Linked DNA regions of Lonchura striata. The protein of the gene in region 4 purifies or fractionates together with the protein of the main gene of each other region. This does not show direct contact. Links are inferred from orthologs where the notes say so. Each region holds a gene or a part of one and is shown on either strand. Other genes may lie near its edges.

Region 1 (7,173 bases), on a different chromosome or scaffold from region 4:
AAGTGTGGACACAATCAAGGCCATGAAGCTGTGAAGCTTCCACCATAAACAGCTCTTGGCTATTCATACCTCAGAGAGTTTTGTTGAATTTAGAGAAGGAAGATGAAGAAAAAAGACACCCTTGATTTTTATTACAGGTTTCATAATAAACAGCAGCAATAACAATGAAATGCTGGGTTTCCTTCACCTTAAGCAAAGGGCAGAAGAGAGAAAGTGGTGGCTGCACAGATATTTTAAAGAACCCTGTGCCCTTTGTTTAGTTTCTCCAGAGTTGTTTGGTAGCCTCTGATAAAGCTGGTACCTGTCCAAGCTGAAAGTGTGTTCCCAGCCCATTTTATGGGTGATGAATCATAATTGGTTATTAAGGTGCTGCAGCTACTCTTTCTAAGAAATTTGAAGTAATTTTTACAATATTTCTAGCATTTAGGGACTTTTAAATAAACAACATAAATGACCATTTGAATGCATATGAGAGTACTATACCTCTGTTTGGGGGTCAAGGAAACAGAAGTAATTCAAATGAACCTTAGGGAATTGAGGAGGAAGTCAACCTGAGGAATGAATGTCCCTTTTATTGAACTGGCAGTCAGGCTGTGAAATCCCATCTGAGGTGCTGGAAAGATGCATTTTTTCAGCCTTATTGCATTCCAATAGTGCAAGAGTAAATCAGCTGTCCTTAAAGTGACTCTGAGCAAATGTAAGTGTGGCATGCTGTGCTGGATAAAATATAGAAGCCATTAATTTTTCCATACTTTGTGTAAAGTTGACAGGGTTTTTTGTGTTTGTTTTTCAGAATGTCTTCTCTATGGGCAGTTAAAGGACTTAATTTTAAAAAGAATTTATAAAATGTCAAGATTTTTGATTCTGTGAGACCAGGTCTTTTATCTACGTTGACTCAGTAACAAATAAGCACTTTTGAACATTGATAATAAATTATAGTTACATGGACTGTACTGCTGATGCCAGCCTTTCCAAAAAAGAAATTTTAATGTATTGTTCAGACTTGGATTTGAAAGCTGTACTTTATCTTAACAACTAACTCAAAGGCAATTAACAAAGAAAAATAAATAGAACCCTAAAACTTGATCAGAACTCCTGCCTTTCACATTCTGAATCTGTCATGTGTATGCATTTCATAAGGCATCCCCTGGCACAACACTTCCCACACCATGTTCTGCTGTAAACAACTGCAGTACACACTGTTTCCTTCCACCAGTGAATGACACCTCAGTCAACAGCTTATTTGCCTTTGGCTATTATTTTTGAATCCCTTTAATCCATGTTTTTCTTTATATACTTCCTACATACTCTGGGATCTGGAATAATGGTTTTTTGTTTTTTTTTTTTTTTTCCCTGAAATATTACTGAACCAAGAACTCTGCCTAATATTCCTGCTTCTTTACAAAGAGTTGGCCTGCCCCAATATAATTTATAGCTTCAGCAAAAATTAATTTATTGATTACGAAGTATTTCCCCTGCAAGAACTCCTTTTTTATATGCATACCATTGCAACTTCAAATTGTTTCTGAAAAAAGCCTGCCTAATAATTCCTAGAAATGAGGGCATGCAGCCTGCAAAATTATTCCAAAAATTCAAGGGCTGCAACCTCAATCTCTGCAGTTTATTTGTGCTGAGACAGCACTGCCAGAGGGATTTTCAAAGTACTTTCAAGAAATTCCATTCAAAAAAACACACTGCCTTTTCAATATTGGAACAAAAACCAAATATTGCCTACTGAATGTTTACATTTTGAAGTTTCTGCATTCTCCCATCTAGCTCTGTGATCTTCACCCAGCACAGGAAGGACATGGACTTGTGGGGAGAGTCCAGAGAAGGGACAAAATTGTGGTTTGCAGGATGGAGGTTGTCTGCTATGAGGCGAGGCTGAGGGAAGTGGGATTGTGTGAAAAATGCATATTAAATTATTGGCGCTCTTCGCAAATATTATAATGAATACTATATGTGCTATGTTGGGAAGTTACTTTGTAGTACTGTATTAATCCTTTTTAAGTAGTGTGGTTAATAGAGTTATAGATTATAACATAATGTTATAGTAGAAACTATGTGATGTAAGATATTTTTTGACTAGCTCAAGAAAGGGATGAGATTATCAAGAAATTCTTTGCACAGAGGTAACAGCAACAAGACACCTAAGAGTTACTGCCTCCTTATTGGAAAAGATAAACATCCTTCCACCTCTTCTCAGTCTTTAAGGAGGATTAAGGGGAAGAAGTTGACAATAACCAGAGAACACCCTTTGTTTGAAAAGTATTTATGCATCAGGTATGAGATATATGAATATCCAACAGGCTGTTGCTTTTAAGGGTTAATCCTTTGTTAGCGAGCCATGCTTTCAAGAGGAAAGCATCCAGACATCTGTAATTCTTTGCTTTTTATTGTCCTAACTCTGATTGTCCTAACTGCTCTAATTTTTATTATTAATTTATAAATATTTTATTACTATTAAACTTTTAAAATTTTAAAACAAGAGATGGGTGTTTTTCACAGATTGCTTAGCCAGGAGAGGAGGCTCTGCTGTGACCTAACTGTGGCCTTTCAGAAAGGGCCTAATTTATAAGGAGAGGTTTAATAAATGAAGCCTTATTTCTAAGGAGAAATCTGGAGAGCAATATTTTACAGAGTTATGGAGTGATAGGACAAGGGGGGATGGATTCAAACTGAAAGAGGACAGGTTGAGACTGGATATTGGGAAGAAATACTTCACTGTGAGGGTGGTGGGGTTGTCCAGAGAAGCTGTGCCATGGGTATTCATGGCTGGGTTGTGTGAAAAACACCAATCACTTGGCTTTTAAAAGTTTAATAATAATAAAATGGTTATAAAAACAGTAATACTATTAGAGTAATAAAATGTAGAGTTAGGACAATTACAAGGCAATAAAAACCAAACACTTACAGACGTCTGGATGCTCTCGGGCACTTAAGCCATGACAAGCATGTCTTGTGAACAAAGGAATCACCCTTAAAAATCATACTCATAAAAATAAAAATCATACTTTCATATTCAGGCAGACTTCATGTTTATGCATACATTCTATTTAAAATAGGAAACTCTGTCTGGAATGTGTCACCTGCTTCTTCTTATCCCCACAGTGTCTTCAAGTCTGAGCAAGGCCTGAAGAAATTAGAAAAGAGAACCATGAATTCCTCTTTTCTGGAAGATTTGGGTGTTCTGTGATTGTTCTCTCAAAGTGAGTATCACGTTCTCTTAAAAAAAAACCCCCACATACATAGTTTCTATTTTAACTACAAAACTACATTTACCATACTATTAAAATGTAAATACAGCACTTCTAATCAATATAACATATATATAGTATAGTATACCATAATATAGCATTCAAAGTAATATTTTATATCTATTATAAATATATTATTATATTATTATATATACTGTTACATATATTAATATATTAATATATTATATAATTATAAATTAATATATATTATATTAGTATATAAATTAATATATATTATATTAGTATATAAATTATTATACTATTATATATAATTATATATAATGTTATATATATATATTATTCACATATAATACATTATTCAAATTAATATTTATGAAAAGCCAATCCTAAAATAGGCATTATTCACAGTCTAGTGGAAGCTGTCCATGTCCATGGCAGGTTGGTTTTACTAGATGACCTTTAAGGTTCTTCCAACCCAAACCATTCCATGCTTTCCCAAGCTGCTGCTCTGGGCGCTGCAAAGAGACAAAAGAAGAAAAAAAAAAAAAAACAAAAAAAAAAAAAAAAAAAAAAAAAAACAAAAAAAAAAACCACGAAAAAGCAAATTGAACCTGACAAAACCAAAACCAAGCAAAAAAAAAAAAAAAAAAAAAAAAAGATGAAAAAAACTAAAAAAAAAAAAAAACCCAACAAAAAAACAAACAAAAAAAAACCCAAACCACACTTATTTTCGCTTATTTCTCTATTAGAACAGGACAGAGCCAAACCTGGGGCAAGAAACGCCCATTTCAGCCGAAAACAACCTTTTATCCCTTTTTATCCCATCAGGCTTTTATCCCCTTTCCTCCCTAACGCCGCCGCTCCCCATCGGCGCTCTCGGCGATCGGCCATCGGCGGCTCCGCGATCGGCCATCGGCGGCTCCGCGATCGGCTCTGCGGCCTGCGCTGCGTGCCGGCGGGCGGGACGCGCCTGAGGGCGGGACGCGCCGGCCGCCATCGAGCGGGAGCGCCGCGGTGAGGGGCGCTCAGGGCCGGGGGCCGGGGGGGTGCAGGGAGGGCCTGGATCGGGGTTCCCTCTCTGCAGTTCCCGTCTTGCAGTGTCGCAGCCGTCTTCAGCACGGAAAGAGCCGGGTCGGGGCGGACGTACGGACGGACACGCTGCCCCCCCACTCGCGGTGCCGCTCCCCGGGGCTCTGAGGTGCAGCTCCCCGGGGATGTGAGGTGCAGCTCCTCGGGGATATGAGGTGCCGCTGCCCGGAATTCTCTGACGCCTCTCCCGTGTGCTCTGCCCGCAGGTGCTGCTGAGAATGGACATCAGGCCGAACCACACCATCTACATCAACAACATCAATGACAAGATCAAGAAGGAAGGTACGAGTGGCTGCCGGTCGCCTCTGGTTGTCCAACACGGCACTTGTCTTACAAAAGGGATTTTAGGAGCTCCCCGACGTCTCTGAATTGCTGAGCAGGAGTTGGTCGTGAGCTGAGCTCTAGGCAAACGCCTTGTTGTAATGAAACAGCAGCAAAGCAAATAATTGCACTTCCCACTAGATCAGGTTGCTGAGGTCTCCCTACAGCCCAGTCTTGAATGCTTTTAGGGATGGGGAGTGCTCTCTGGGAAACCTGTTCCAACACCTCACCACCCTGACAGTAAAGGCTATTTTCCCAATATCACATCTAAGCCTCCTCTCAGTTTGAAGCCATTCCCCCTTGTCCTGTTGCTCCAAACCCTTGTAAATAGTCCTTTTCCATCTTGTAGGCTCCCTTCAGGTACTGAAAGGCCAAAGTTAGATCACTCCTAAGACTTCTCTTTTCCAGGCTGAACAACCCCAAATCTCTCAGCCTTTCCTCACGGGAGAGGTGCAATAGTTCAAATGTAAGGTTTTTGTGTTTGAATGATTACACAATACAGATTATTTATTTACCTTGATTTGGATAGTGTTAAGGTTTAATTTGGCATGTGTTCAGGTTATTGTAGATAATTGAAGTAAATCCAGTGTAAGCTGCAGTAGTCTCATACAAAAATAATTTGGATCCAGAATACGAAAAAATACTTCATGTGAGTGAGAAAATTGATTAAATGTCCAACTTTAATTAGCCTTTAGGTAGTTACTGTTCTGCTGCATTCTTGTTTTACATCATGTCTCTACTGCTGCTTGTTTCAATTTTGATTTTCTAATCAGTCTGAGATGGCTGTCATTCATCATGCTTGAGTGTGTGTGCATATACCTGTATGAAAATACGTTTTTACATCCCTTTATGTAATTGTTCCTCCCTTGGAATGGCAGAATGGATGGCATTATAACTTCTTCAGTACGTAAATCCTTGAGGTATGAAACCAAATGCTGCACACCAGTTTACAAAACCTGGGCAAATAAATTTGTAATGATGCAACAGTTTTGACAAACTCGTGCACTCACTGTGTGAGCTACAGCTTGTAAAAAACACTGCTCCCAAAGGACAGCAGTCTTGGTAGAAGTGGGGATTTGCCTGTGACCTGCTGTAATCTGTTTTCTCCCTGGTGCCCAGAGCTGAAGAGGTCCCTGTACGCGTTGTTCTCACAGTTCGGTCATGTGGTCGACATTGTGGCTTTAAAGACCATGAAGATGAGAGGACAGGCATTTGTTATATTTAAAGAACTTGGATCATCCACCAATGCTTTGAGACAGCTACAAGGCTTTCCATTTTATGGGAAACCAATGGTAAGTTGTTTTTGTAAGATACTTGCCTTTTCTGTTTGAGAAGTTTGGGTTTTGCTGAATTTACATTTCTGCAGAGATCTTGGAAATCACTGTCAAATTTTAACTCCCTTTAAAATGGGACTGAAAACTGGCAGTTTTAATAGAAGCTAGTTCTGATTTTCTCAGATGTCCTCTGTGTAGCTCAAATGAATCTCCCTGTAGGTGCTACCTTGGCAGATGTTAAAAAGATGTTAGATAAATGGAGTTCCAATTTCAATGAACTAAAGTTAATAATTTCCATATTAGGGTTTTTTTTTAGACTTCTGTATTTGTGTTCAGAAAAAACTGAGAATTGTTTACTTCATAAGTGTACCTACATTTTATAACAATGTTTTTAATATAAAAGGTTTCTGCAAAAACAAAAAGGGTGTAAATACAGAGTTAATGTACGTGGTGCAAACTGTTCAGTATTAGTGACTGCAGAATATACTCTGTTTTTATTTTTTTTATTTTTTTCTTTTAAAAAGCGTATTCAGTATGCAAAAACAGACTCTGATATAATCTCTAAAATGCGTGGGACTTTTGCTGATAAGGAAAAAAGAAAGGAAAAGAAGAAAGCCAAAACTCTGGAACAGTCAGCAAATGCACCAAATAAAAAAGTTATCCAGGTAAGCTGCTTCTCTGTTCAGAAAAAAAACCAACCAAAAAACCCCAAATAAACAAACAAACCCCCCCCCCCCAAAAAAAAAAAAAAAAAAACAAAGAAAGAAAACCACAAAAAAACACACAAAAAAGCTATTCTAAATAATTTTTTAGGATTTGATGTTGTCTTTTGTTACTTTTCAATTCCCTAATTTGGGGTCTGTTGACTATCTGGAGCTCTTGAGCATTTACTAGAAGTAGAAGGAGAGGGGGCTGGTTATATAGTCCTTGCTGTTCATTCTTTTTTCTTGTTTGCTGTTGCCACATACAAGTAAAGATGTAGGGCAAAGGTACAACAAACCAAAGTAGAAACTAGCGTCTTAAGAAAAGGAAAAAAAAGGAGCATCTTTGTAAAACTATTTTGTGCTTATTTGCTAGGGTGCAACACAGAATTCAGCCAGTGCCCCAGGGACTACACCACAGAATCAGGTAATGTTTATTATTTTTATCACTAAAAGCACTAATGTTTTTAATTATTATCTATTAATAATATTTTGTTACACATGGGAACTTGAGGATATATTTTACAGCTTTGTTTTTGTCCTATGAGACATTTGACTAACAGCTACATG
Region 2 (7,690 bases), about 1.6 Mb from region 4:
GCACCACCAAATCCCTGTGCAGATTCAGATCACTTACTGAGATTGCATCTTTTGTGCAAGTGTCAATTATTGGCTGCAACAAGTTGTCAAATTCGTTCATATCTAACTGGGTTTCCTCCAAAACCTTTTGCATTTGTTGCTCGATTGCAAGGGCAACTGCTGATGTGACTTGTTCCTGATAAAAAACAAACAAAACAGAAGCAAACAAGAAAGAGAAAGAATTACATTATAGCCAAAATTCTTTTAGAGAATGAAGCTGCTGTATCCTTATCCTCTTGGACCTAAGGGCTATCTCAAGGACCAACATCCTTTACAAGCCCTGTGACCTCATGAAAATGTTCCAATTGAAATGGTTCTGAAAAGACTCTTCACATTTTTACAGAGAAGTCCAGTTTACTTCTACTTCTAAAATCTATCATGTAATAAAAAATAATTGCAAGAAGCTCTTAAAGGTAAGGAATATAACCAAGGCACAAGAAACTCTTCAGTTTGGTTTTCAGCAGCTTTAACAGCTAAATGTCTCCTGCAAAAATCAGCTAGTTGATAGCACACAGTTCCCTTCCATCTCTAATCACATCTAAGTGGGAATATTACAACCTGGAACATCTTGCAGTTCCCAGCAATCTGCAGCATTAAACCAAAGTTTAAGCAGTCACAATTCATTCCACTCTAAAACTAACAAGATTTTTCAAAGAGCAAATAGAAGGCTCTAATCACAGATCACTCATCCCATAATAATATAACCCCTATGCAATCATAACCCAACCTACACACCAGACACGTCCATTCTAGGGGAACGATGGCATTTGCCACGCAACAAAAACAAAGAAAGCAACATCCCTTCTCCTCACCTCCAGCACCGCTCAGCAGCAAACCATCCTCTCCCCCTTCACTCCTAATTCCTGCAGCCACTGGCGGGCCAGGACACACCAGGAGAGTGTTGATCTCAAACCAACCTGTCTCATAGCCAGGAGATGCTGCTCCTGCTGCTGCAGGTTCCACTGACTCTGCTGGATGAGCTCCTCCACAGAAGGGGTGCCCTGAGGGGCTGGCATGGGCGCAGCCGGCGGGAGCGATGGCTGTGGCAGGGGCTGGATCTGTGCCGAAGCCTCGATATCTTGGCTTTGCTTGCACAACACTATCAGACAGAGCAAACTTTGAAAGTAAACCTCCCAGAGAAACCTGCTACCACCAGCCCACGGGTGAAAATGGCTCCAAAGAGACTGAGGGGGTGAGAGGGGTCTCCAGAGCTGCTTTGACAACGCTCTCAGATATTTGGTGGGATTATTGGGGTGTCCTGCGCAGGGTCAGGAGTTGGACTCACTGATCCTGGTGGGTCCCTTCCAACTCAGCACACTCTGATTCTACACTTAACCCAAAATCACGGGTGGATGGTGCCAAAGAGGAGAGCCAGCACCTTCCAGAGGGACAACAGCAGGACCAGCCCCGCTCTGGTTCTGCAGGCGCTTGAAACGTAAATTTTAAGGAATTTAGATTTTAGCGGAGCTAAGATTTTAGTTAGAGATAAGCCTTACTAGAGTTAATGAAAATAAATGAGTAGGCCTTGATGAAGTTAAGAGTTAGTAGTTAACTAATAACTGATTGCTTGTCAGCACAATGTTTAGTTAGCTGGGTTTATAATGAAGAATATACAAACTGACAAATAGCTTTTAGGAACATAAGACAATTGTGGGGCTCCTCTGTTCTGAAACCAACTGAAGACAAAAAATGAGAGTTCTACCAAGAGTTCATGTGTCATATTTGCATTGAAAAGGTAGAAAGGTCAGAACGAGGAAGACTTCATTTACTTCCTCATTTTGGGAAGGGATCACTGACCCATTCAAGGAACAAACTACTCATGGTGAATAACTTTTGAAATTATTAGCATACGAAGTGAGGAATGGGATATACCAAAATGATGAATATGTATTTGTATTTTGGGTATTCAACACTTGTATGGCTAAAAGGACTCTGTAATCATCTGGAGGCTGCGGTGTGGATTTGGGAGCGATCCCACACACAATAAACACACACTTTCTAACTTTAAACTGTTAGAGAGTTTTTGTCCGTCCCAGTTGGATATCAGTATTAGATCAATATCCGTATTTTTTTTAATAAATCATCTTGGCGATGATTTATTAAAATAGGACTCTGCTCTCTCTGGCCGTGGGGGTCAAAAAATCCCGCTGAGCTCCGTCCCACCACGCTGCCCGTCCCCAAAGCCACCACCGGGACCGTGAGGAGCCGGGGCAGCGCTGAGCCACCTCCCGGGAACCCTGAGAGCAGCCAGAGGCTGAGAGCGGTCCCGGCGGAGCGGGGAGAGACAAAAGCGTCTGGGGCCGGCCGAGCCCCGGGGACCGCGGCCGAGCCCCGGGGACCGCGGCCGAGCCCCGGAACCACGGCCGAGCCCCGGGGACCGCGGCCGAGCCCCGGGGACCGCGGCCGAGCCCCGGGGACCGCGGCCGAGCCCCGGGGACCGCGGCCGAGCCCCGGAGCCGCGGCCGAGCCCCGGGGACCGCGGCCGAGCCCCGGAGCCGCGGCCGAGCCCCGGGGACCGCGGCCGAGCCCCGGGGACCGCGGCCGGGGCGGCAGCGAGCCCCGAGCCGGCCCTGCCCGAGCCGCAGGCCCTCACTCACTCACAGAGCCCCCACTCACGCTGCTGCTGCTCCAGCGCCAGCTTGTACTTGTAGTAGCCGTAGAAATCGCCCCCGAAGAGGAAGGAGAATTTGGGGTTCTCCTTCTGCTTCTCCATCGTCATCTTCTCGAACTCGGGCCCGTTCCGCGCCACAAACTGCGCCAGCTTGTCGATGACATTCCGCAGCTCCTGATCTGTGGGGAAGCACGGCCGTCACTGCCCGCTCTCCCCGCGTTCCCCGCTGTCCCCCCGCTCCCCCCGGAGCCCCGGATCGCCGCTCACCCTCGGGCGGCAGCGGCATCTCCATGGCCGCGGCTCCCCGGCCCCGCTGGGCCGCGCCGCGCGCCGCGACACCCGCGCGCCCGCGCTTTACGGCAGCGTCGCCGCGGAGACGGCAGCGGCATCTCCATGGCCGCGACACCCGCGCGCCCGCGCTTTACGGCAGCGTCGCCGCGGAGACGGCGCGCGCGCGCGGCGCGGCCTGAGGGGCGAGCGTCTGCAAAGGGTTTGAAATTAAAGCGCGGGGATGTGAAAAACGCCGGTCGCTTGGGGTTTTAAAACATTTTTTTAAAAGTTTAATAATGATAAAATGATTATTTTAAAAAGCGGTCCAGGGAAAACAGACCGCTGTTTTTGACAGTAATTAATTATATTAACTATAACTATAACTATAACTATAACTAACTATAACTATAACTAACCTATAAATATAAATATATATAAATATAAATATAGCTATAAATATAAATATAAATGTAAATATAAATATAAATGTAAATATAAATATAAATATAAATATAAATATAAATATAAATATAAATATAAATATTTTGATTATAATTATATATTATATAATTATTCGTAAGAATAATCACGAGAAACTGGTCGGGGGGGTTGGGAAAGGTCACAAGAAACTCATGCTTGAATAAAGTCAATGTATACAATAGAATAATATAAGTTTAATATGTAAATTGTATAATGATAGAATAGAAAATATATAACGATAGAACTTATAAACAATATAAGTGTAATAATTAATATGTAAGTTATATAATGATAGAATATAAAATATGTTCAGCTCGAAAGCCGTGTCAGAGTCAGATTTGGGTCTGTACCCCTGATTCCCAGAGCTCTTCAATAAAAGCACCTGCATAGAATCATATCCCATGATTATGTGTGTGTGAAAAACACCAATCACTTGGTTTTTAAAATTTTAAAAGTTTAATAATAATAAAATGGTTATAAAAATAGTAATACAATTAGAGTAATACAGTTTAGAGTTAGGACAATTACAAGACAATAAAAAGCAAAGAATTATGGATGTCTGGATGCTCTCAGACACTAAGTCAAGAAAAGCATCCCTTGTGAACAAAGGAGTCACCCTTAAAACACTTGTTGCATATTCATAAATCCTTCATGGTTATGCATACATTCTATTCTAAACAAGAAACTCTCTTGTATGTCAGCTGTTTCCTTTAATCCCCATGGGGTCTTCGAGTCTGAGTAAGGCCTGAAGAAATTAGTTTCTTCTGATATGAAGCCATAAATTCTTTTCTATTGGAAGATTTAGGTGTTCCTCAAAGCGAGTATCTCATTCCTAAAAAAAAACTTCCCCACATACATAGTCTCTATTTTAACATTATGTCGGAACCTAAAACTATATTTAACACACTACGTAAGAGAATTAATACAGCATAACTTTCTAACATTATGCATATAATATTCATTGTGATGTTTGTGCAAAGCCAATCATAACATATGCATTTTTCACAGGGATTTGGGGGTTAGAAAGGAAATTAAGCTTAGTAGGCGCTGGGAAAATACCCTGGGAAAGTAAAGTGTAGGTCTTGTACTTGCTAGAACTGCACCTGTGTACCTAGTACACGATAAATGATGTAATTGTTAGATGTGATGATTGTTTAATTATGCTCTATTAATTTTCTTAAGCAGCGTGTTAAATACCCTGCGCCATTCGGGATTTTAGGAGGTGGCAGCCCACTCGGGGCCGCAGCCCACTCGGGACCACATCCCCCTGGACACGAACGCCGACCCTTTTCCATGGAAAACAAAAGCCACCACCCCGTTTCCTGCGGCTTTGCCGGAGGCGCTTGGCACTGCCCGGGCTGGGGATGCTGGCAGCTTTGGCCGGGCGGTGTCCGAGCGCCGCAGCGACGTCTCCTGCTCCGTGCGGTTTTTAATGCAGATGCTCTCAGACTGAAACCTTTTATTAATAAATAAATAAATAAATAAAAGCCCTTCCGACATGAGCAGGAGCTGGTTTCTGCTGCAGGCTGCTTGTCAGGGCTCTCTCTGTGCCCGGGGGGCTGCGAGCTGCTGCAGAGCTGGGTGAGACCCCAGAAATGCCAGTGCTGGGGATGCTGCGAGTCCCAGGGGAGGAGCGGAGCCGGGAGCGGGCTGCGGACTTAGTTGATGTGCGGCTGATAAATGATGAGTGATGAACAGCGCCGGCGGGACGGGACGTGCCTGTCCGGGAAAGGATCCGCTTTTTTTGGGAAGAGCCGCGCTCCTCCGTCGGGCTCCCAAGGGTGGGGCGGGATGGGATGGGATGGGATGGGATGGGACGGGATGGGATGGGGATGGGATGGGGATGGGATGGGGATGGGATGGGGATGGGATGGGATGGGACGGGATGGGATGGGGATGGGATGGGGATGGGATGGGATGGGATGGGGATGGGATGGGGTGGGGTGGGGATGGGGATGGGATGGGGATGGGATGGGGATGGGATGGGGATGGGATGGGGATGGGATGGGGTGGGGTGGGGTGGGATGGGATGGGACGGGATGGGACGGGATGGGATGGGGATGGGGATGGGGATGGGATGGGGATGGGATGGGGTGGGGTGGGGTGGGGTGGGATGGGATGGGGATGGGATGGGATGGGGATGGGGATGGGGATGGGGATGGGATGGGGATGGGGATGGGATGGGGTGGGGTGGGGTGGGGTAGGCGGGGCTCCTACTCCCCCCCACGTCCTTGCCCCTTTAAGAGCGGCTCCCGTGACGTCACGCCCTCGGCTACTTTGTAGCGCGGGGAGGGCGGGGCCCGCGCGCGCCCGGCGGAGCAGCGGGGTCTCTTAAAGGGGCCGCGCAGCAGCAGCAGGTAACGGGGGTCCCGGGCCGGGGGCTGCGAGAGGGGAGAAGAACGAGGGGAGGCTGTGTCCCGGCTGCGGGTCTCGGCTGGATGCGGCCGCTCAGCGTCCCCCGAGGCTCTTAGTGCCTCCCCGCCCCCCCCTCCCCGAGGCTATTCCCGTGTCCCCAGCGTAGCCCCGAACTGTCCCCATGTCCCCTCTGGACTGTCCTCACGGTCCCTTCGAGCTGTCCCCATGCCCCCCCTGGGTTGTGTGTATCTCTCGCGGGCTGTCCCCACTTCTTCCCGACCTGTCCGCCCCGCGGTGACTCCGCACCCCGCCCAGAGTGGGGCGAACCGGGCCGGGGGACGCGGGGTCGGAGGGCGCCGGGGCCGGGAGCCGTCGGTCCGGCGGTTGCCGGGGTCGCGGGGTCCACCGAGCTCCCGGTTGCAGCGATGCTGCGTGTTTGTCCTCGTGAGATGAGTGAGCAGATTCCCACGCGAGTCCCCCGGGAGGATCCAGGGAATCCTGTGGTTGGTTTGTCCCGAAAAGAGCCGCCGCCCCCGCGGGGCTGGGGCTCCCCCGGACCGGCAGTTCCGCAGCACCCTCCGGTTCCAGCGGCTGGGGACACTCAGACACCTGTCTCCCCGTGTCACCCCCACCTGGCAGCTGCTTCTGTCTCCCCGTGTCACCCCATCTGACCCTTGTGCATCCCCGGAGGAATCCTGCCCCGGACCCACTCGTGTCCGGCCCCGCAGGCCGATTAGGCGGATTTCCCAGCTGGGATCCTAATCCCGCTGCCCCGTGCCCGTTTATCCCGGCTGCGCCCGGGACCCGGCTTAGCCCCGGGCGCGGGCGGCGGCGGCGAGCGCGGGGCGGCGGCTGAGTGAGCGGCTCCCCCGGCCCCGGGGAAAAGCGAGGGGCAAGGCGGGGGTGGTGGTGCCCAGGGAGCCGCCCCGGAGCTCGGTTCTCCCGGGGCGTGGGCGGGTGCACCGGGCGGAACGCTGCGGGTTGGGTCGTGCCGCCGCCGCTACCGGGCTCGTCACCGAGCCGCCTTGGCAGAACTTTGCTGCCGGGCCCCGGAGCTGCTGGCCCCGCTCCAGAGGTGGGTGAATTCCCAGGAACTGGCAGAGACGTGGGTGCTACCCGTGGGATCCGGGTGTCGGAGCTCGCGCCTCGAGCCCGCTGCACCGGAGAAATTCCGCTCCTGGGCTGATGAGAGCCCCACCCACATCCCTCTCATGGGGAAACTGAGGCACGGGCAGGTCTCAGCCGCTCCTGGGCTGCCCACATCGTCCGGAGCTACTCCAGGGGTGCCGGACTGCTCTCTGTGCCTGGCGTGGGCAGTGAATTGGGCTCTTGGGCAGAGCTCGTGCCCCATTCTGGTGCTTTTGATTTAGGAAAGAATGTGACTTGAGCCTTTAGCTCCGGAAAGGAGCTTTGCTGCCGGAATGCCAGCCCCGGAGCTCAGCCCTGTGCCCGGCACAGTGCCCGGGCTGTGATAAGCCCCGAAGCAGAAGCAAGCGAGAGCCCAGCCGTCGCCCTCAGCTTGGGGCTGCCCCCCCTGCTCCCACCCGCAGCCGGAGCCGAGCGGGGCCCGCGACCCCCGCGATGGCCGTGGGCACCCAGCTGGGGCTGCTGCTCTGGAAGAACTTCACCTACCGCCGGCGGCAGCGGGTGAGTGGGCGATTGGGCTGGGGCTACCCAGAGCGGCTGGTGCCGGGCACAGGGGCAGGCAGAGCCCCGGGCACTGATGGGGATCGGGACCCCACCAGCCTTGCTTCTCCCGCAGATCCAGCTGGCGATCGAGATCCTGTGGCCCCTCTTCCTCTTCCTTATCTTGGTCTCAGTGCGGCGATCCCACCCGCCCTTCAAGCAGCACGAGTGTGAGTGTCCCCGCAGGACCTCCTGAGCCAGCTAAGACCCCTCTGTGTGCCCCTGTACGGGAACCCTTCGGGGTGGCAC
Region 3 (7,916 bases), on a different chromosome or scaffold from region 4:
CAGAAGAAAGAATATTTCCAATGCCTTTCTGTTTTCAATTCCTTCAGGTTGCTACTCCTTGAAGTTTGGGATTTGGTTGTTTGTTTTTTTTTTATGGCAGCAAACCTAAGCTGATTTTCCCAAGCCAGGACAAGTTTTCCTCTGGGACTTTCCTCATCATATTTGATTTTGCCCAGTGGGCAAAGCTGAAGATCACTGGGAGGACAGCAGCAAGCATTTTCTGGGAAAAAAAAAAAAAAAAAAAAAAAAAAAAAAAAAAAAAAAAAAAAAATCCAGAAAGGTTTGGAGGTTCTGCCAGGGTCACCAAAAAAAGTGTGGTGTGTAGCAGGGTTGGTTCTCTGCTTGGGATCTCCACCATTGGCTGGAAACCACCAATTAATGGGATTTTGAACAGGTTGACATTGCTCTGATCAGCCCTCATGTTTTGCTTTTGTGCCACGTGCTGATCCCCACCATTTCCCACCTGTGTGAGTGGGAGCTGCTCTGTTGTCCCCATCCTCAGAGGTTCTGAAGGGTGGTTTCTCACAGCCACCCCAGAAAACTCCAGTTAGGTTGCCATGCACTGCCCTCTAATGCCATTTCGGCATATTAGCACCCCTCACCCTCAGAGGAGATCTGCAACATAAAACAAATCATCCACATCCACCAAAAACTGCTATCAATGCTTTAGGGAAATGAGACATAAATGAGACATTTAATGGCTGCTTTTTCCCCATCCCAGCACTGCTTTATTTTACACATTCTTAAAGATCACCATCAGGGAGAAAAATGAGAACTCCCTATTTACCTTTTCTGGGCCATTTTGGGTGCTTGATGCTTCCAAGGTCCCCTTCAGCTGCCTGTTTTCACCCAGCACATCTGATTTCTTTATTTTTTACTGCACTGCTGCTTCTTGGAGAGGATGAGATACCCAGGAGTGCAGGTGGCCACTCAAACGTTCATGTGCGTGTTGGATTTATGAGGATACGTTCTCCTTTTTTAAGATTTTAATGCTTCCCAGCAGCCTGTTTGCTTTCCTGCTTCCTTCCTTCACTAAATAGGCATTTCAGGAAAATGGTCCACAATGAATGCAGCATCTCTTTCCTTAATGGAAGCAGCTGATTTAGAGCTGCTGCTGTGTGTGTTTTGTTAGTGCTATTTTGTCTTGTGTGCATTGCTTTGCATTCATTAACAGTGGGCCCCATCTGCTATCTCATCACTGAGCCAGTGCCACGCTATCCTTCTGCAACTTCTTGCTTACAGCTTTTGGCTGATTACTCTGAAAAAAATTGGGATTTGCAGCAGATTTCACCACCTTGGCTGTACACCTTTTCCAGGTGGGCTGTTGGTACAATGAGCAGTTCCAACCAAGGCTGGTGGCTCTTCTCACAGTGGGAAAATCAGTTTATTCACAGCTTTTTGGATCTCCCTATAATTCCTCTCCTCTCCTCTCCTCTCCTCTCCTCTCCTCTCCTCTCCTCTCCTCTCCTCTCCTCTCCTCTCCTCTCCTCTCCTCTCCTCTCCTCTCCTCTCCTCTCCTCTCCTCTCCTCTCCTCTCCTCTCTCCTCTCCTAGTTCAGGAGACCCAGCTGCATCAAACTCATCTCAAAACAATGAGAAAATTGTGAAGCTGGGAGAAAAGGGCTACAAGAAAACATAAAGACAGAGCGACATGAGATTAGAAAGGCAGGTAGAACTGGTGACTCAGCAATCACAAGTGAGATTCAAGAAGAAAAGCACCAGCATAGAAAGGTTTGAAATACGAATGGGAAAATAAAGTAGCTGGAAGATCACGCTTCAACATTTATGAGGGTCTGTAGGAGGCAGAGAGCTGGCCAGTGCTCCCCCACCTTTGCAGATGAAAAGGAGATTTCAGCCACAATTAACCCACCTGCAAGATCTGCAATGCTGGGGATGAGCTCACATATTTCTCCTCCATTTCCAGTCTGTCTGGGACCTTGGCAGCAGGGTGAGGTTTCTTTATCTCCCCAAATTTAATGAGAAGGATTTTCTTGGCTCTTCTGCTTCTAAGTGGGCGTGTACAAATACACTGTGGCTATTATCACAGTGATGGATCAGTTTTGATCCATGCCTACTGCAGTTTCCAGGCTTAACCAAGAGCTGCTTCTCTCCTTGTGAGTTATCTGATTTATGGCTTTAATAGGTAGTTATTTACAGGTCTGATAATTCAGCCTTTACCCTCCCTGTTATGACTTGTTCTGAGGAGGAACCAAAATCTCCCGTTGCTCTCGTGTTTTCCACCTCTGCAGACTCTAATCTCCTTTGAGTTTCTCCCAGTGTCTGTCATGCTGTGATATTGCTCTGACATCTCAATCCACAGGGATTTTTTTCTGTACCTTTTGATGCAATTAATTATTTGATTCCTTCCTTTAACATAGGATACATGGTTCTTTTCTCAGTGGGACTCTTAGGCTGTAAAAGTAGTCCCTTGCTGATTTTATTTTTCTTCCACAAGGTTACAGATGTGTGAATTATATCAATCCTTCCTTTAAAAAATGCAGGCATTGCTAACGCAAAAACCTCAGGAAGATGCTTGGGAGATCCTCTATAAATAAAGTGAAGACAATTTCTTTTTATATTTAAGGAACTTTCACTGTCATGATGAAAATAGACATATATGTAAATGTATTTAGAAGTACTGCGTTAATAGAAAGCAGCATAAGTAGGAGAGGAAGTAGTAGCTTTATTTTATTTATTTTTTCAGCTAACCACAGGGAAATAAACTGCACAGTAGCACAGTCAGAAGCAATGCTGGAGATAAAGACTTTCTGATTAATACAGAGATAGTGCTTGTAATATTTTGAGGTTGAGGTGCCAGGTCTATTTGCTTCAGGGCTGGCGTTTGGCTTTGCAGACAGTCTTGCATGTTCATTTGCTCATCATGTGGTGCAAGTGGCCATAATTCTTAGAAAACTCAGCTCATCTATTTCACATGCTTGGTATGAGCTGGAGACACACCAGTGCAGCGTAAGTAAAAAAGAAAATCCTTTTTTGCCTCTGTCAAAGAGAAGATATTAAATAATTAGTGCAGGATATTGGGCTGGGAAATTGGTATGGTTGGGTAAATTCCAGGTTCAGACAGATGCAGAATTTTAAGGTTTTTAGAAAACAAAGATTGTTTTGGCAGACCAAACAAGTCCACTTCAGGCCCAAATGACATAATGCAGCAAGACCTTCTAATAGCCAAATATTTTGCAATATTTGCAATTACCCAGTGACCTCAGTGACAGTGATGGCACAGCAAAATGACAGCAAACATGCTGGAATAACAGACAGAATTGTTTGAAATTGATGAAGAATAAGTCCTCTGTTCTCGTAACTTTCTCAGTGCTGCCAGAGTCTTCATGAAGAATTTCATGTAATTGTCTCCATTTTCCTGCCCAAAATCTCAGATGCCCTTGGTAGGTAACTAGAAATACTGAACAGCCATGGAGACTGGTTACTCACTGTATAAACTACCACAGATTACTTAAGGAGTTAGAAACACGGTATGGAAAATTGTAACAGAACATCCAGAGCAAACAGTGTTGGGGGTAAATCCAGCCCCTTGGGATGTGCCGTGCCACCCTCCCACTGATTTATTAAAAAAATATGGATATTGATCTAGTACCAATATCCAGCTGTGATGGACAAAAACTCTCAAACAGCTTAAAGTTAGAAAGTGTGTGTTTATTCTACACTGGGATAGCTCCCAAATCCACACCGCAGCTTCCAAGTGATTACAGAGTCTTTTTATCCATACAAGTATTGAATACCCAAAATAAAAATCCATATTCATCATTTTGGTATATCCTATTCCTCTTTTCATATGCTAATCACTCCAAAAGCTGTTAAGCATGCGTGGTTTGTTCCTTGAAATGGGTCGGTGTCCCTTCCATGGGGAGGGGTCCCAAAATGAGGAAGTAAATGAAGTTTTTTCCTCCTTCTGACCTTTCTATCTTTTCAATGCAAATATGACAAATGAACTCTTGGTAGAACTCGCATTCCTTGCCTTCAATTGGTTTCAGAACAGAGGAGCCCCACAATAGTCTTATGTTCCTAAAAGCTATTTTCAGTTTCTATATTCTTCATTATAAACCCAGCTAACTAAACATTGTGCTGACAAACAATCAATTATTAGTTAACTACTAACTCCTAATCAAGGCCTACTCATTTATTTTAATTAACTCTAGTAAGGCTTATCTCTGTGAAAAACGCATATTTATGATTGGCTTTTTCAAATATTACAATAAATATTATATGTGTAATGTTAGGAAGTTATGCTGTATTAATTCTCTTCAGTAGTGTGCAAAATATAGTTTTAGGTTCCAACATAATGTTAAAATAGAGACTATGTACGTGGGGGAAGGTTTTTTAGGAATGAGATACTCGCTTCAAGGAGCACCTAAATCTTCCAAAGGAGAGGAATTTATGGCTTCTTATCAGAAGAAACTAATTTATTCAGGCCTTGCACAGATTTGAAGACACCATGCGGATTAAAGGAACAGTTGATATACAAGAGAGTTCTTGTTTTAAATAGAATGTATGCATAACCATGAAGGATGTATGAATATGCAACAAGTGTATAGGTTTAATGTTATTCCTTTATTCACAAGGGATGCTTTTTGTGATTTAGTGTCCAAGAGTGTCCGAGTGCTTTTTATTGCCTTGTAATTGCCCTAACTCTAAACTTTATTACTCTAATTGCATGATTATTTTTATAACCATTTTATCAGCATTAAACTTTTTAACATTTTAAAACCCAGGTGATTGGCAAGTTTTTCACACCTCTGACTAAAACCTTCGCTGCTCTAAAATCTCGAAATCCCCTCACGTTTCCGTCCCGCCGGCCGAGGGGCGCTGCCGCTCCCTCCTCCCGCCGCCGGGGGGCGCCGGCGCGGCGGCGGCGCGGGGCGCAGTGCGCAGGCGCGGCCCTTCCCGGCGGGCTCAGCGCCGGCTGATGGCGGCGGCGGCGGCGGCGGCGCCGGGACGGGTGAGGGCGGCTCCGGGCCCGGCCGTGTGGGGAGGCGGCTCTGAGCCCTGCTGGGTGTGGGCAGGCAGGGGAAGGCAGGGTAGGGCGGGTGTGCCACGCTCAGCGGCTTCCCAGGGGGCTCCCGGCCTGTGCGGAGTGTGTGTGTGTGGGGGGGGGGTGTCAGGGCCTGCTTCGCCCCCGCTGTTCCCAGATCGCTGCCCACCTTTCCTTTTACTGTGGGGACAGCTCCTGTGACTCGCTGCCTCGTCCCTTCCCCGCGGTGACAGCGCCAGCCCTGCGTCCAGCCAGCTGTCCAGGGTCTGAGCAGGAATGGCTGGGGGGGCTCAGCCTGGAGAAAAGGAGGCTCAGGGGGGAATTTCTCGCTCTCCACAACTCCCTGATAGGGGGGACAGCCGGGTGGGGGTCGGGCTTTGCTCGCACGTAACAAGCGGCAGGACAATAGGAAATGGCATCAAGCTGCGCCAGGCGGGGTTCAGGCTGGATATTAGGAAGAATTTCTTGTCAGAAAAGGTACTTAAGTGTTGGAATAAACTGCCCAGGGAGGTGCTGAAGTCCCCATCCCTGGAGGTGTCCAAGGGAAAAATAGATGCGGCACTGAGTGCTCTGGTCTGGGTGACAAGCTGATCTTCAGTCACAGGTTGGATGATTTCAGAGATTTTTTTTTCCACATTGACTGATTCTGTGATTCCCCAGAATCATGCTGTCTCCTCACTCCCCAGCTGCCAAAATCCCACTGCTCTGTGGCAGGTGGAAATTGCTACAACACCCTGTCCTCATCCTGTGCATCTGTGCCTTTATAACCCCTGCTGTGTTTCATCCCGAGGCCAGATGTTTAATAGTCTTCAAAACCTCCTTTTTCTTTTTGCAGTAAACTTCTTGCTGTTGAGCCCTAATTGTTCATATTCCACTGCAGGATTGAATTAATTCTTGAACAGTTTTCATCACTTTTCAAATTGTTACTTTTGTACAGCATTGCTCTAGTTATGTGTATTTACTACTCACCAGAAAGAAGTGCATTTTCTCTGGCTTTAGGAAAAGTGAAATAAAAGGTGGTGTACCCATGTATGAAACTGTTAGCAAATAACCTGGAATTTGGCTTGTAGTGTCATCTAGAGTTTTTTTTTTCTTTTATTTTGTCTTTCAGTTTTAAATTGAAGAGAAAATGTCACTTTACGATGACTTGGGGGTTGAGACCAGCGATTCTAAAACAGAAGGCTGGTCCAAGAATTTCAAACTGCTGCAGTCGCAGTTGCAGGTGAAGAAAGCAGCTCTCACACAAGCAAAGGTATAGTCCCTTTGTGATTTTTCTTTCTGTTTTTCGTGTTCAGTGCATTGTGTTTGTGACCTCAGAATTTGCTGACATTTGTCTGTGAGTTTGTAGCAGAGAGCCTGACAAAGCTGAAGGGGAAAAAGGAAAAACGTGTATTTCTTGATGTCTCTTAGAGGGGGTGTTGCAAAATTAAAACTGAAGGAAGCACTGATGTATGTGCTGCAAACCTCTGAACTTTTAACAGCAGAGCCAAAAGCTGATCTTCAAGTTTAGCTTTAAAGATAATGAGATTCAGCTTTATAAAAATTTTTTTAATGTAAGTAGGGGTCACACTGTGATTATTTACATGTTTACATCATTTTATGGTTGTTATTGAAAAGCATCTTGGTGCTAACCTGCAAATCATTATGTATTAGAAATTTTACACCAAGTATTTCCAGAGTAGGTGAAAAGGAGGAGTGCAAGCTGATTTTTGTTAGACTGTGACAGAGCCATTTTCTCTTTTTATTGCTTCTTCTTTTCATTTCACCCTTATTCTTTCAGCAGTGTTGATATTTTGATTCAGGCAGGACACAGGTGCTCTTTGAGGCACTGTAGGTTCTGTAGTGAGGTTACTTAATTAAAGGAAGAAGCAGTAGCACTGATGCCAGATACTTGAGTAGCCACAGCATTTTTTTCACTGTAATTACTCGTTATTTATGCTGCAGAAATTGGAAGCAGGATTTAGTTGATAATGGGAACAAACTTCATGGAAGAAATTTACTGACTGCTGTATTAGTTATATTCTTTTTCCATGTACCCGATGTGCAGTGTATCCATAGCCTAACAGAAGAATAAGATAGGATTAGAAAACTCAGTTCAGAAGAGTTTAAAATATTTTATCTGATGATAGATGGGAAGAACAGTAGATCTTTGGAATAAATCTGAGTTTCTTAGAAACTAACTCAGTTCAAACTCACCTGAAGTGATTGGATGAATTTTCCATGTGTGTTTCTGGTCCCAGTGAAAACTTAGGACCATCCACCTGCCACAGCAAAGTCTATCAAGTAAGCCAATTTTTAGAAAACTGCTTTATCTTTTTTAGACATTGTGTGTTTTGTTGATTTTTGCAGAGTCAGAGGACAAAACAAACCACAGTTCTTGCTCCAGTGATTGACCTGAAACGAGGCAGCTCCTCTGATGAGAGACAGATTGTGGACACACCCCCTCATGTAGCAGCTGGGCTAAAGGTAAGACCAGGACAGCTAAAATTTCCAAATGTTTTGGAAGTTGAATGCTTCCTAGTGGTCAAAAAACTGATTATTTTCTGAGAATATCTTCCTCTGCTGAGAGTTCTTTAATTAACATTTCAACATCATTCAGACTTACATGTGCTACAGCATGGAATCACCATAGTTAATGTGCAGTTACAAAACAGTGTTCTTAAAATCCTGGACATCTTCAAATTATTTGGCAAGACAGCAATTTGGGCAGCTAAATAATGACTATAATTGTGTTGGCACCAGTGTTGGAACTGGAAGTGTATAACAATCAACTGAAAAATAAAACAACTAAAGCCTCTAACCTTTTAAATTGATTTCTCATGGTAAGAAATCAAGATAAACTCTCTGCAGCTTTTTCAGAGGAAAAGTTCTGAATGGTTCTTTTAGATTAGAGGAGAACAGTCTGTGTGCTG
Region 4 (7,041 bases):
AGCCAGAGACCTTGGGAAGAGCAGCTTCCCAAACTGAGGGTGAATTGAACTGGACCACACGGCCAGATCCAGGACTGACTCCCTGAGGCCCCTTGCAAAGACACCAGGAATTTAAATCCAAGTGGGAACAGCCCTGAGAGAGGAACTGGGATACCTGCAGGGAGCAGCCAACAGAGGAGTTAAACTGCACTGGGAGAAGGCCCTGAGCTGCCTTTGCTGGAAGCTTTTGGGAACGTGGTATTCACATGGTACTCCCACCATGGAGAGCAGGTCCTGGTGCCACTCCAGTTCTTGACCAGGACAGAGCCAGGACATGCCACCAGTTCCTGTCCCCAAAGCTCTGCTGAGCAGACCCTCAGGGCTGCTGCTGCCAAGCACCTGGGTCAGGCTGCACCAGCACCTCGGGATGGGCTGTGGACACATCCCAACACCAGGTACCGCTGGGTTTAACCCTGCTCAGGAATCCTCCTCCACCAGAGCTCCCAAAATCCCTAAAGCCCCAAAATCCAGCACATGGTGCTCCAGGCTCAGTGTGTTCAGGCAGTTTGTGGGTCCTTTGGAAGCACAGAGCAGAACCACAGCTGTGCCTGGCAGCCAGGCCAAAAGATACAGGGATGGCCTTGGAGAAACATCCTGTTATTGTGGCCACATACCTCTGGCAGAGGGGAGAGCTGCGGGATGAAAGGCTGCTCCCAGGGGAGCTGGCCCAGCTGCCGCTGCACAAGGACGCACAGAGGGGAGGATGGGGCTGGAGCAGCTTTATCTGAGCCTCTCTAGGGTGTTTTTTGGATAAAATGCAGCAGCACAGAGCAGATCTGTCAATAACCAAGCTCCCCCTGCCAGAGATTCCACAGGCAGGCAGTGGGGCCTGGCTGCTCTTAGTGCTGCTCTGCACGTGCAGCTGTGCAAGTCCCTCAGGCTGTGCCATGGAATATCCCTGAGCTTTCCTCGGGATGGCCACAGGCACAGTGAGGAACAGCTGGCACCTGAGGAGGGGAAAGGTTGAGGAATTGGTAAAGTTGGAAATGGCCTTTAAGACCATCAAGTCCAACCATCAGCTCAGCACCACCAGGTTCACCACTCACCCCTGTCCCCAGGTGCCACATCCACAGATCTCCTGAACACTCCCAGGGATGGGGACTCCACCACTGCCCTGGGCAGTCCGTGCCAGTACTTCCAAACCTTTTTGGTGAGTAAATTTTCCCCAGTATCCAATCTAAACCTGTCCTGGGCACAACTGGAGGACATTTCTTCTTGTCTTGTCCTCTGTTCCCTGGGAGCAGAGCCTGACCCCCACCTGAAGGGCCCTGACCCCACTGAGGGAGAGGAGAAGGGCTGGGGGCAGTGACCCCACTGAGGAGGGGAAGGGCTGAGCTGACCCCACTGCACCAGGGAAACAGGGGAAAGCAGAACTGAGCATTCAGCATTCCCTTTCCCACCAGGGGAAGGCAAAGGGGTGCACAGGCAGCACTCACTGATGGAGAAGACGTTCTCCTCCTCTTTGGTGATCTTGCAGTGCTCCAGCAGCAGAGCTCCAATGGGCTGAAAACACATGGAGAGAAGGTTTAACCCACAGGGGCCCCAACACCACGAGGGCTCAACCCACGGTACTTCCCTGGAGCCTTTTAAGCAACTTTCACAAGCTGGTGCTGCTTTTGAATAATTCATTCTGATTGCACCATATTTCATGTTCCTTTAATCACCTTTTCATGCCAGTCTCACCTGCAACACTTTGCATTTGTTAATTAGGTGTCAATCATCTCTACTGGCTCAGTTTCAGCCTGGTCTTAACCACTCTGTGATACCAGAGAAAAACATTTGCTTTTAAAATCAAAGATGAAACATTTACTGTGACACCCAGAATAACCAACACTGAGCTATGCAAGGGCTGTCCTGGAGCCTTGCAAGTGTGAGCAGAGCTGCAGCAGCTGAGGATGACCAAAAAACCACCTGGTACTACTCAGGGACACGGGGACAGCAGGTGACATTGGCCATGAACAAAAGCAACCACAAGAAATCCTTGTCCAAGTGAACCAACATGTCAGAAGCAAATCAGGCAGCAGGGAAGGGATTGCAGACCTGATTTATCTTGCATTTCATACAACTCTTTGGGTTGGAAGAGATCTCAAAGCCCATCCAGTGCCACTCCTGCCATGGCAGGGACACCTTCCACCATCCCAGGCTGCTCCAAGCCCTGTCCAGCCTGGCCTTGGGCACTGCCAGGGATCCAGGGTGGGCACCCTGTGCCAGGGCCTGCCCACCCTGCCAGGAACAATTCCTGCCCAATCTCCCATCCAGCCCTGCCCTCTGGCACTGGGAGCCATTCCCTGTGTCCTGTCCCTCCAGGCCTTGTCCCCAGTCCCTCTCCAGCTCTCCTGGAGCCCTGCTGAACTGATGGAAGGTGGACCCTGCTCCAGCTCTGCCATGCACCATTTTCCCAGCCCACACAATCCAGGCATAGAAAAAGAAGAAAGGAGGAGGGGAACAAACCCCACGCAGAGGCCCAATCCCTACCTCAGCCTCATCGGTGCGGAAGTAGAAGAGAAAGTTCACCACGAGCTTCACCAGGCGCTTCTTCAGCACTGCAGGGGCACAAGGGAGCAGGGCAGGGCTGAGGCAGGGGCACGGGGAGCAGGGGAGCCCTGCCCACCCTGCCAGGGCCCAGCGTGGCGCTGACCCCACCAAGGCACCCCCCGAGGCTGCTCCCTCAGGGTGACAGTGTCTGAGTGGCCTCAGGGTGACAAAGCCCCTGAGCAGCTCCCGGGCAGTCAGAGCTCACAGCAGCAGCACCACGGGGCTCCAGGCACTCCAGGAAAAGCTCCGGATCCTGGGAGCCCTGCCTGGAGCTGCCAGCACGGGCGTCACCCCCACGGGACAAAGTCCAGCAGGTGCTCAGAGGACGAAAGGCTCAGGACAAGGGAGTGAGCACAACACTGCTTGTTTGCAGGGGAATTTTCTAGGAGATTTCAGGGAAGACCTTCTTCCCCAGATCCCCTGGAAATGGGGGATCTCCCTGGCCCCAGCCCAGCCCCAGAACCTCCCTGCACGCCCATACTGGAGCCCAGCACTCGTGCTCCCCACTGCCACACTCCAGCCCTCCCAGCCTGCCTGTCCCCAGCCCTGCCTCCCAGCACTCCCAGTCCTGCCCTGGTTTCCCAGCCTGGATTCTCCAGTACCCTCAATCCTCCCACCCAGCTCCCCCAGACCCTCTCCAGCCTCTTCCCCCAGCAGCTCCAGTTCTGATTCTGCAGTCGGGGCCCCTCAAGTACCCTCAGCCCTTCCCTGGTCCTACCCCAGTTTCCCACTCGTGATTCTCCAGTTCCCCCAGCCCCACCACCCACGGCACCTTCCCAGTCCCTCCCAGTATCCCCAGTCCCGACTCTGCCCCCCAGGTACCGCCGGTCCTGTCCCACCTTCCCCTGCCTCCCCCAGCACTCCCAGTTCGCCCAGTCCCGGCTCGGAGCCGCCCCAGTTTCCCCAGTATCCTCAGCCCCACCGCCGCAGCTCCCCTCGCACACCGCTCCCGCTGTCCCAGCCCTGCCTCCCCGCTCGGGGCCCCTCAGGCAGCGCCGATCCCCCCGCGCTCCCGCCCCGGTACCCCAGCCCCGGCTGCGCCCCGCGCGGATCCCGCTCACCGCTGCCCTTCTTGGGGACACTCATGCGGATCTCGGCCGCTTTCTCGGCCGGCTGCCGGGCCAGGGACAGCAGCTCCCGCTCGTTGTAGCGCATGGCGGGCCCCGGCCCCGGCCACGGCCCCGCCCGGGCCGCCCCAGCGCCGCCGGAAGCGCCCTCAGAGCGCCCGGAACGGCTCCGGGGCCGGAACGGCTTCGGAGCCCGGAACGGCCTCGGCGGGCCGGAACGGCTTCGGGGCCCGGAACGGCTTCAGAGCCCGGAACGGCTTCGGAGCCCGGAACGGCCTCGGCGGGCCCGGAACGGCTCCAGGGCCCGGAACGGCTTCGGGGCCGGAACGGCTTCGGGGCCCGGAACGGCTTCGGGGCCGGAACGGCTCCAGGGCCCGGAACGGCTTCGGCGGGCCCGGAACGGCTTCGGAGCCGGAACGGCCTCGGCGGGCCGGAAACACCGCGGAGCCGCGGGAGCGCGCAGGCGCCGGGGCGGGAGCGCGGCCGCGCGCAGGTTCGGAGCGGGGAGAGACCCTGAGGGGAGAGGGGGGAGAGGGGAGCTGAGGGGAGAGGGGCCATGAGGGGAGAGGGGGACTGAAGAGGGGCCGTGAGGGGAGAGGGGGAACTGAGGGGAGAGGGGGACTGAGGGGGAACGGGGCAGGACTGGGGGAACTGGGGAGTCGGGGCTGGGCAACTGGGAGTGCTGCGTGAGGAGAGACTGGGAGAGCTGGAAGAGAGGGACTGGGAATGCTGGGTATGGAGAGACTGGGAGAGCTGGGAAGCAGGAATTGAGAACTGGGTGAGGAAGGACTGGAGAGCTGGGAAAGGAGGGATTGCAAAAGCTGGGAGAGAAGAGACTGGGAGAACTGGGAAAGGAGGAACTGGAAATGCTGGGTGAGGAGGGACTGGAAAGCTGGGAAAGAGGGACTGGAAATGCTGGGTATGGAGAGACTGGGAGAGCTGGGTATGGAGAGATGTGGAATGCTGGGTGAAGGGGAATTGAGAGAACTGGGTGAGGAGGGACTGGGAGTGCTGGGTGAGGAGGATTCAGAGAACTGGGGGAGAAGAGACTGGGAGATCTGGGTATGGAGAGACTAGGAGAGCTTGGTGAGGAGGAATTGAGAGAACTGGGTGAAGAAGGACTGGGAGTTTGGAGTATGGAGAGACTTGGCATGCTGAGTGAGGAGGGACTGGAGAGCTGGGAAGGAGGGACTGGGAGAGCTGGGTAAGGAAGAATTGAGAGAACTGGGTGAGGAGGGACTGGGAGTGCTGGGTGGTCTGGGTGGTGAGGCTGGGGGAACTGGAGAATCACGAGTGGGAAACCAGGGTAGCACCAGGGCAGGATTTGGGTTACTGGGAGGATCAGCGGGGCAGGAACGGAGGCACCTGGAGGTTGCCGAATGCAGAACTGGGATGGAGCTACTGGAAAAGTACTGGGGAAACTGGGTGCCCTGGGTGGGAGGACTGGGGGTGCTGGAGAAACTGAGGGTGCTGGAAATGGAGGGACTAGGAGAACTGGGGTGGTGGGGCTGGGGGAGCTGGAGAATCACGAGTGGGAAACTGGGGTAGGGCCAGGGGAGTGTGGGGAGGATGGGGAAGAGCACCTGAGTGGGAGTCAGTGGGCCTTGACTGGCTGAATCAGGACTGAAGCTACAGGGGGATGTGGCTGGAGAGGGACTGGGGACGAGACACTGGAGAACTGGGTGCTCTGTGGGGAAGGATTTGGGGTTCCTCAAAGGTCTTTCCAGTGTTTGGGCTCCCTGTGGGGAGGTCTAGGCAGGGCTCTGACCTTGCTGAGGGCAGGGGGGACTCCAGGACCTCACCTGGGGCTTGGGGACATTGCTCAGAACCCCTGACCTTGTTGGGGGGCTTGGGGGGCTCTGACCCTCCCTTGGTGTTGGGGGTGGCCCTGGGGCTTTGGGGGTGGTGGGGGAGCATAGACCTGGTGGTGGTCAGGGAGGAGCTCTGGGGCTGTTGGTACCTCAGGTGAGGGGGGAAGGCTCCTCTGGTGGGGCCCAGCTGGGCTTGGAGTGGCTGAGGTGATGGGAAGGGCTCCGGGGGGATTTTCTGGATCCGTACTCGGCTTTCCCAGGTCGGTGGTGCCGGATGTGCTCCATGTGGGATTGCATCCCGTGCTGTGTGCCTGGGGCATGCCTGGGTGTCACCCCCACCCTCGCTGCTGCGGCTGAAGAGTCCTGTGGCTCAGTTGTCCCTGACACTCCTTCCTCTTGGCAGACTCCATTTCTCCAGGAGGAGCTGAAGCCCAGAAATCCCCAGCATGGATTTCCAGCACCGGCCCGGGGGTAAAACGGGCAGCGGGGGCGTGGCCTCGGCCTCCGAGAGCAACCGGGACCGGCGGGAGCGGCTGCGGCAGCTGGCCCTGGAGACCATCGACATCAACAAGGTGCAGGGGAGCCCCCGCAGCCCGGGGGACACCGGGCACAGTCACATTCATGGCATCCTGCAGTGCTTTGGGTTGAAGGGAGCATTAAAGCTCATCCAGGGACATCTCAGGTTTCTCCAAGCCCTGTCCAGCCTAGACTTGGACACTTCCAGGGATCCAGGGGCAGCCACAGCTGCTCTGGGAAATCCATGCCAGCTGCCCACCCTCACAGCCAAGAATTTTTCCCCAGTCTCCCATCTAAACCTACTCTTGGTCTCTTTGAAGCCATTTCCCTTTGTCCTGTCCTTCCAGGCCCTTTTCCAAAGTTTTCCTCTGTCGGTATAGGACACATGAAAGCATGACACAAGCTGCTACTATTGCAAAGGTGAAAAAGAAAGAGTTTATTTTCTGACTCCAGCATTTATACTTTTTTAAAGGTAACAGTGGATTGGAGGGTGCAAGTGCCACCTCTCCAATGACATTGGACAAACTACTAGTACATCAAGTTTCTCCACCTCTATGAAGGAATGCAGAACAATAAGTTGTTTACAGAAAGTTGTGTGAGAAAGTTCTCTAACAGAATGGAAACTCAGAAGGCTTTAGAAAATCTTAAGAATCAGGGCGACATTCCTCCAGTTCTCTTGGAGCCCCTTTAGGCTTTATGGTCACCCCAGAGCCTCCTTGTTTCCAGGCTGAGGTGTGGATTGGGTTTAAATACATCTGTTTCTGGGCATGTGGGGGTTGAATAAGGAATATTTAGGACAGAGTGACAAGGAGGTGCCAGCTCTTGTGTATCCATCTATTTCCAGTCTCCCCAGGGCTGGTTTGGGTTGTGGTGTTTCCTGCTACAGTTGGGAATTCTGTCACCACTGCACACATAGCTGCTGTTGGTTCTCTCTTGTTTCCTCCTCCTAAACCTCTCTTGTGCTGTTAATTTAAAATCTGAACTCAGCTACAGGATCCTAGGGTATCCTGAGCTGGGAGGGACCCTCAGGGATCATCAGTCCAGCTTCTGTCCCTGCACAGACCCCCCAACAG

What was found.
Region 1: the proteins of SF3A2 (region 4) and SNRPB2 purify together in Homo sapiens (affinity purification with mass spectrometry; 6 studies listed by BioGRID and IntAct, with this or other methods). This does not show direct contact. The link is inferred for Lonchura striata from reciprocal best matches to the Homo sapiens genes SF3A2 and SNRPB2.
Region 2: the proteins of SF3A2 (region 4) and CHERP purify together in Homo sapiens (affinity purification with mass spectrometry; 3 studies listed by BioGRID, with this or other methods). This does not show direct contact. The link is inferred for Lonchura striata from reciprocal best matches to the Homo sapiens genes SF3A2 and CHERP.
Region 3: the proteins of SF3A2 (region 4) and RBM17 purify together in Homo sapiens (affinity purification with mass spectrometry; 4 studies listed by BioGRID and IntAct, counting the BioPlex papers as one, with this or other methods). This does not show direct contact. The link is inferred for Lonchura striata from reciprocal best matches to the Homo sapiens genes SF3A2 and RBM17.

The regions. Positions count from the first base shown.
Region 1 is NC_134605.1:3,353,057-3,360,229, reverse strand, and holds the start of SNRPB2 (U2 small nuclear ribonucleoprotein B''), read left to right. Parts: upstream 1-4,165; 5' UTR 4,166-4,232; intron 4,233-4,513; 5' UTR 4,514-4,525; coding exon 4,526-4,589; intron 4,590-5,747; coding exon 5,748-5,920; intron 5,921-6,426; coding exon 6,427-6,567; intron 6,568-6,979; coding exon 6,980-7,030; intron 7,031-7,173. UniProt on the Homo sapiens protein: Involved in pre-mRNA splicing as component of the spliceosome. Associated with sn-RNP U2, where it contributes to the binding of stem loop IV of U2 snRNA.
Region 2 is NC_134630.1:4,531,894-4,539,583, reverse strand, and holds the start of CHERP (calcium homeostasis endoplasmic reticulum protein), read right to left. Parts: upstream 3,016-7,690; 5' UTR 2,943-3,015; coding exon 2,918-2,942; intron 2,830-2,917; coding exon 2,656-2,829; intron 1,139-2,655; coding exon 957-1,138; intron 176-956; coding exon 38-175; intron 1-37. Other genes in the region: phospholipid-transporting ATPase ABCA7, read left to right, coding at 7,337-7,402, 7,518-7,611. UniProt on the Homo sapiens protein: Involved in calcium homeostasis, growth and proliferation.
Region 3 is NC_134607.1:69,612,647-69,620,562, reverse strand, and holds the start of RBM17 (splicing factor 45), read left to right. Parts: upstream 1-4,901; 5' UTR 4,902-4,971; intron 4,972-6,115; 5' UTR 6,116-6,133; coding exon 6,134-6,256; intron 6,257-7,353; coding exon 7,354-7,470; intron 7,471-7,916. UniProt on the Homo sapiens protein: Splice factor that binds to the single-stranded 3'AG at the exon/intron border and promotes its utilization in the second catalytic step. Involved in the regulation of alternative splicing and the utilization of cryptic splice sites.
Region 4 is NC_134630.1:2,945,569-2,952,609, forward strand, and holds the start of SF3A2 (splicing factor 3A subunit 2), read left to right. Parts: upstream 1-4,024; 5' UTR 4,025-4,134; intron 4,135-4,825; exon of another isoform or gene 4,826-4,845; intron 4,846-5,855; 5' UTR 5,856-5,898; coding exon 5,899-6,024; intron 6,025-7,041. Other genes in the region: PLEKHJ1 (pleckstrin homology domain-containing family J member 1), read right to left, coding at 1,476-1,542, 2,515-2,582, 3,636-3,729. UniProt on the Homo sapiens protein: Component of the 17S U2 SnRNP complex of the spliceosome, a large ribonucleoprotein complex that removes introns from transcribed pre-mRNAs.